Linked DNA regions of Caenorhabditis elegans. The protein of the gene in region 1 interacts with the protein of each later gene in a pairwise test. Each region holds a gene or a part of one and is shown in the gene's direction. Other genes may lie near its edges.

The links. Proteins that work in one complex are often made in the same cells at the same time.
Region 2: the proteins of ztf-2 (region 1) and lin-39 interact in a two-hybrid assay, tested with the Caenorhabditis elegans proteins (one large-scale study listed by BioGRID).

The regions. Positions count from the first base shown.
Region 1 is NC_003279.8:7,289,341-7,293,096, forward strand, and holds ztf-2 (Zinc finger protein ztf-2), read left to right. Parts: upstream 1-1,931; coding exon 1,932-2,337; intron 2,338-2,501; coding exon 2,502-2,831; intron 2,832-2,884; coding exon 2,885-3,231; 3' UTR 3,232-3,612; downstream 3,613-3,756. UniProt on the Caenorhabditis elegans protein: Transcription factor. Represses gene expression, probably via binding to DNA consensus sequence 5'-[AT][CT]TTCC[AC][AG]-3' in promoter regions. May play a role in pharynx morphogenesis.
Region 2 is NC_003281.10:7,534,583-7,538,338, reverse strand, and holds the start of lin-39 (Homeobox protein lin-39), read left to right. Parts: upstream 1-1,706; 5' UTR 1,707-1,749; intron 1,750-3,638; coding exon 3,639-3,756. UniProt on the Caenorhabditis elegans protein: Transcription factor.

The DNA.
Region 1 (3,756 bases):
TCTGAAATAAATGAAAAAATTGATGAAAAAACGACTACCATCTCCCTTAATTGTTCAATTTTTGAACGAGAGGCAATTTGTCTGAAAATCTGGAAAAAAAAAGTATTTGCATCAATTGCCCTTTTGTTGCCATTCGTGAAACTTGCACACTCAGCAGCAAGTGATTCCTCCAGCCCACACGTTTTCGGCGCAAAAGTGTAAGTGATAAGAGCTTCAACTGGTACCTCCTGGAACCGAGGAGCTGACAGTGCTGCTCTTTTTGGCAGAAACTAGCGAATGAGCACAAATGCACTTTTACTTTATCTAGGTTACTATAACCGATGCTTCTTCTATTACCTTTACTTCCTCCATTTTACTCCTAAAAACTGCTTGTCATGTGTTTGAACTGTGCGGGGCCGCCTTGAGGTCCTTTCCGACCATTCTGTACCAGGTTGTTCCTATTTGGATTTCCTCGAAGAAGTTGAGGGCGCGAGAAAAAACCGAATGGCTGCAGGAGACGCCGCGGCGATGGTGGTGGTTACGCAAACTGTGCTTGAGCAAACATGTGCCTGAATTGAAAAAGAGAAGAAGACGATGACGATTAGGAACAAGAAGGCATTGAAGACGTTGAAGAAGGTCATCTTTGAAATTATGTTCAAATATGTTTTGGTTCTAGTTACCCTAGATTTCAAAAATACTTGAAGTACTCTAGAAACCCGAGTTGATATTTGTAAGGTTTATGTTAAACTCTACGTCATATTTTGAGTAACTGCCTACCGTAGTTTTTACACTTATTTGAAAAGAAAAAAGCACCTAGCTACTTTTGTAAGTTCATATTCATTTTAGGGCTAACTTACCTGTGCCTGGTAAAAGCCCACAAGACGTCTAGAATTACTATTGCAGTCTTTTCAAATACGTTCTTTTCTGGAATGGTTCTTGTTGCCCTGGATTTCAAAAATTCTCTAGAAATCCGAGTTGGCAATTTCATGCTCGGAAAGTGCACTTTTTTTCGAAAGATGATCGCTCTCAATAATTAACCTTCATAATACACATCATACTCTTCTTTTTTGCATTCACTTACAGTAAGCACTAGATATCTCGGAATACTCTAGTTGGGTTTGAAAATCTCCACGGTCCCTTTTCTATTTTTCTAGCCGTCCCCTATATCCACCTACAGTAGCCTTTGCGCCTGTACCTCTGCAGCACTATGCCTAACTGGGAGCAGGTGAGCCAATACCAAATAACTTTCCCAAAACTCTTTCTCCTCCCATCAACGGTCATCCGATCTCAATATGGCCACGTCATGCTCCAACTTCACGTACGCTTTGGCTCAAAACGAGTTCACTGACCGAACTGTTTGTCCAACCAAAACCTTGTGGCCGAGCGCAAGAAAGAGTTGTGTGTTGCTGATATTTTGTAAAAAGTAAACGTATCCTCTTCCTCCTACTGCTGTTGCTGTGAAAGTCAGTCAGCCCCGGAAGTGAACAGTTCGCTGATGCGACGACCTCCCACCCTTCGGCCTCCTCCTCTTTTTCCCCCAACAAAACTTGTGTCAACATACTGTGGTAGGAGCGAAAAGGTACCGCGCGCCCCATCCGCATTTTGCCATATCCATTCCTTCCCGAATCGGCGCTTGCTTCCTGGTGACCCTTCCCTTATCTTGGAGCAACTTTCACTTTTTCCACTTCTTATCTCCAATTCTCTCGTCTTTCTAGACAAAATAGATATCAGAATGTTCCTCCAGTTCCAAGTACATTGATACTTTTTCTTTCTCCAAATTTTCCCACACCTTCTTTTCATTACTTTTTCTCATTCGTGGTCTACTCTTTCTTATTTTTGATCTCGGTTCAATATTAGAATCTGCAAACTTAACAACTGAAAAAATAACATTTCTAAACTTACTATAACATTTCCACTTTTTAATTGCATTCTTTAAATTTCGTAAATTTAAGATGAATTGTGAATCGTTGCTCACTGCCCTTGACGTATCCACTCTACTCTCAACTCTTTCCTCACCTGAAAAAGAACATCGTCGTAAAAGACGACGTGGTGAAGTAGCCAATCCATCAAACACTCTTGATGCTCTTGTTGCTCGCAAAGCCGACGATCAACCATTTGAAAAGAGATATCTAAGTGAACAAGAAGCAATTGAAGGACCAGATGATGAGATTGAAATGAAAAAAATGGAATTGGATCCTGATGTATCTACACGCACCTGCTCTACCTGTGGTTACCAAGGAAAATGGGTGTCTGAGATGATTCGTCATAAGAGAGTTCATACCAGTGAAAGACCATTCAAGTGTCGTTATTGCTCCAGAACCAGCAAGTGGAAGGCTGACCTTATTCGACATGTTGCAAGTGAGTTCATATTACTTTTCTATTACTTTAGGTATTTGAATTCGCTTTAAACCTTTTGTAATTCTGTCAGATTTGAAGTTTGGCAGCTTAGAACAATTTTTGAAATGTAATCAATTAGCTTCTGCTATACCTGAAAATGTATTCTCCAACCTCAATAATTTCAGAAACTCATGGAATCCGTGTTGTCTCCAAATACAGCCGTTCGAAAGTCTTCGATGCCACCAACAGTTCAATGGATTCTTCGTGTTCTTCAGACTCTGATCGATGCATAATTTCTGAAAAGAGAACAGTGTTCTATCGTTGCCAATTGTGCTCATTTGAAGATGAAAGAGTATCTGTATTGAACAGTCATGTAAGCCATCTTCACAACACCTCCCCATGTGTTTGTCGATGTGGCGCTAAATTTGAAGATGTCCAAGGAGCACTTGCTCATTCCAATGGTCCATGCTCCCATGTTGATATGATTTACAACGTTATGCCAACTTATGAGAAAGGTAAACCATAATTTTAAATAGTTTAATTTCATGATTTAAATTCCTTTTTTCAGCATCTCCATTATCCCCGTGCAGAAGCGAATCCTCATCAGACAGCGGAATTCAGACAGATCCTGAAGAAGAAGCATCGATTATTACATCATCCCTACCAACTCCTCAACTTGGATCATCACCTCTTCTGTTGTCACCAACACTTCCAGTCACTCCATCTTTCCTTCCAGACATTCAATCAGCTCTGCTGAGCCTTCAGCCAAATCCATTAATGTCATTATACTTGGCATCTCTCCTACAATCTTCCTTGTTGAATAGTCCAACTATTCCAACATCTTTTCCACAAATCATCCCAACTACGATACTTACACCTTCTCAACAAGATGAGATGGTTGACGTTGAGATGTAATTCTTAAGATCTTGAATCCATAATCTCAAAATTTATAATTAAAACAATTTATCACTTCTTTACTTGAATATCTCAGGTTCATATACTCGAACCAATATATTTTCTGTTCTACTTAGCCAATCACGCACACAAACCCCAAAAAAACCCCAAATCTTAGGTATCTACTCACATACGAATCTCGTCTCAACTCTCAGCTTCCTGGTGAATTCATATTTTCTTTGCTAATTTTATTTTCCTTATCTGTTTCTACTATACGAGTCATGTTTCTATCACACATCCCTCCATATTTCTCTATCACATTTTTCACCGATTTCTCTTTTTTTCGGGATTGTTCTTATTTATATCGTTACGAATATTTGGAAATATACGCTTGTTTAAAAAAGTATTATCACCACTGCATAAACTCATATTTTAAGCGATATTATTGATTTGTATTTGCTCGGCATTTAGTGCCTCCTTTCTCCCACCTTTTGAGGTCTTCTCACCTTCCGCCCACCTTTTTGCCACCTGCTCCCCACCTTTTGT
Region 2 (3,756 bases), on another chromosome or scaffold:
GCATCCCCCGGTGGTTCAATTTCCTTTCCTTTCATTTCTTTTTTGTCTTATGCTTCAATGTATTCATTACTTTTCCCTCTTTTTCTCGTCATTTGATTAATGAACTTCCTACTGTAACTCATTCTATCTCGTTTCTGTTTGCACTAGATTGGAAGACCAAAAAAAATCAAAATGAGGAATTGTCGAACATCAATTTGTAAAAGAGAGAAGATCCCTACACTTCTTCAACCTATTTTTTCTTGATTCGTGTACCTACAAATGAGTAATTGGATGCCATTCATTCCACACTTCTTGATGCTTCCTGACACTCATAAATCACTGTAAAAGAGACAGGAAATAGACTTGAGTCAATTGCATAATCACTTACTAATCATTTACTCACTTTTTTTTTTTATTTATTACCACAGTGTTATGCAATTCTTATCTCCTTATCTATACTGTGAGAGGTGTGAGGATATTGGATCATTTATAGATTGAGAAAACTGATAATGAAATAAAAAATGTGATGTGTTTGGGTTATTTCCTTTTATAGTACATTATCATGTGTTGTGGCTCTGAGAATTTGTAATTCTCTATGTACTGTTAATTTGAAAATTTTATTTTAATCAAAAAATTAAAAAAGACTTTCAAAGTTAACAAAAGTAACACATTTTAAGTTTTATAAATAGTTTAAATATCTCTGTTTGCATGTTTACAGTAGGGAACTTCTAGAACTTTATTCTTTCATTTTGTAAGAGGCGTTGGAATCAATTCAGTTGCAGTTGGCATTTCTGAAACCTCAAGTTTCGGGAACTTTTACTTTTAAGAACAAGGTGAGGCACTGCTGGAAATCTCGAAGCAATTTCAGATGCCTTGCAAAATCTTGAAAACATATTAAGCGTATGCTTCAGTTGTAGACTTTTATATTTAGGTATCTTGACAATTCCAAAAAATAGTGTTTGGTGTCGACCAAGTATTGATAACATTTAATTTAGCTAGAAATAGCTAGAAGCTTAAATTTTTAGAAAATCTGATCAATGACCTAGAAAAACTTCAACGTTTTTCAAAATTCCCATAACGCCGTTTTAAAATTTCACAGAAATTCGTCTTTTGGTCATTTGAACTTTTTGTGCATACCAGGCATTTGGCTCAAAAAGCGGACTATCAGATGTTGGCAAAAGTTGGTAAGAGCTTTGACAATACTTGTCTTAGACTATGTTGTCGAAACCTTGCTCAATTTCTGCTCAAGTTTTAGCCCAAAGCCGAGATACTCTCCCTTTTTGCCATTTTTCCAATTTTCATGTAACAATTCCATATCTATAAAATCAGAGAGTTCATAAAATTGAGCACATTTCGACTGACTCTTGACAACTTGTCCAATGGGAAAAAGTTGGTCAAGATTTTGTTCCTAAAAGCGGCAACTTAAAAGCGAAAATTCATTCTGCTCAACTCTTCTACTCTTGGAGCCCAAAAGCTTACGGTACCTGTCGTTCTCACCCCATGTCCATCCAGCGCTGTCAGTGATGAATTGAAAAGGCGAGAGCAAGAGATGTGCTCTCGGCTCCACGAACCTCTTTGATCTATGCCGACAGTGGGGGAGATTGGAGAAGAAGCATGCTCCACCCTTCACGTGTATCAGTACGTCTGCGTCTTCTTGTGCGTGCCGCCCGGATTAGAAGACATGAAGTGGGAGGGCGATAGAGGAAATTCCGATGGCAATACCAACAATAGAATTTTGGCAACATTTTTTTACGACCTTCTAGAATTAAGGTAAATCTCTCTTTTTTTAAATCCACTCCTGGCACAAAGCTTCTCAAAGTTCTAAATGAAACTGGAACTTAACTTTAAATAAGTTGAACCTAGAGGTCACCTGAAAAAGTTATAGGAAAATTCTCTACTATTTAAAACGTAGTCTTTAAATTTTGCAAGTTATGTACTTCAAATATCAATTTTCCACCTTTGTGGCAGAAAACGTTTAAAATCTAGTTTATTTCGGAACCCTCTTATATTTTCGCAAAGTTATCGACTAAATTTCAGTATTTGAAACATTTTTAGATACTCGGCTTTGGCTTCTGCTGTTTTTTTTTTGTTGTAGGAATTTATTCAAATTACCTGCGTTCCGAAAAAACATTTTATGTTGCATTATTGGAGAATATACCATTGAAAAATTGAAAACATATCTGGAAGAAATGAGCCCAGATTAGATGTTGCACTTTATGAGGCGTTGCGAAGGCGCCTTTTTACCGTGTTCCCGTTATTCTGCCGATCATTTAAATAAATTGAATCTCACCCTCGTTTAATTTGTGAATCATAGAAGAAAACAAAATGTAATCTTACTTTAAAAAAGCTATTATCACAACTTTAAATTATCCAACTTAAAAGCTTCATTGTCAGGTGTGTGCGACAAATCTACCGAAATTGCTGAGTTCGTCAAATTTCGAGGATTGCCCACAGCCTCAATATTTCTGAAATTTCATTTTGTAATCAGTAGTCACATAAATATTCAAGACATGGAGAATGTGTGGAATAGTGTTAGGTAACATTTCAGAGCTTAGGCCTACAGAGAAAACACATAAAGACTTCTAGTCCATACTTCTTCTTGACCTCATAGATTGCTTACTAGTTTATATAAAGCTATTTAGAGCAATTATCCAATCTTATAAGGTAAAACCCGCGGGTCTTAAACCATGACCACCCACTTGAGCACACCCACAAAAACAATTCGTCTCTCGCAGATTGCTCCTCAATTTATCACCATCATCTTTTCTCTCTCCATTTCCAACTCTTTACTTTTCTTCTCTTTTTGTTCTGTTTCCGTTCTTAAGCTTTTGTTGTTTTCCTAGTTTTAATGATTTCCTAAGGATTAGGTACAAGTAGTTGATAGGTTGATCTAATTCCTTTTGATGAATGCAGTAATTAAAAAAAACAAGGTTCTTAAATTAAAATTTAAAATCTATCAAACGGTAATTATTGCTAATTCGTGTTCTGAAATTTATTGGTTTCAATTATATGTGCCCAGGAATTTTAATAAATTTTAAAGCTCTGATCACCTGTAAAAGAAATTGATGGTTGCTGAAAGTTCTTCAAAATTTTAAGAACTGAATCATCGTATTTAACTTTTGTGTTGAAAATTTGGGCTCTTGGGAGATATTGATCCGGTCATTGATTGCGATTGTACACGTATCTCTGAATTCTAGACTAGCAGCACAAATTGTTAGTTTTCTTGCTCTCACTACAATTGTTCAAATTTAAATACCTATTCTACTAGTTATTCGGTTTTTGAAGATATGTAGACTTTAGGAATATCTGAATGATCTACTTCAATGAAAAAAATTTGATCTCTTTTTTTAACTACTGCATTCATCTCTATCGTCCTCTTATTCTATTCCCTCATCCCTTCCGCTTTCTGAGACTCCACCCTTCGTCCAATAGGAGAAATGGGCGGGATCGGGGAAGGATGGCGCCCGGTATTCTGTCTCTTTTGCAATGGAAGAAAAGAGGAGAAAGAGGGAGACGTCACATTTTTAACAAATGTTCAACCGCCCCGACGCGCCTCTCGTCCTCATTTATTATATCACCTCGTTTCCCCTCCCTCCCCTCATCTTTTCATCTCTTTTCAATCAATTCTTATCAATCACTTTCACTCGTTTTCACTCCAGATGACCACATCAACATCACCGTCATCCACAGATGCACCGAGAGCTACAGCTCCTGAATCAAGCTCTTCGTCTTCATCCTCATCTTCTTCATCATCATCCACATCTTCTGTGGGTGCAT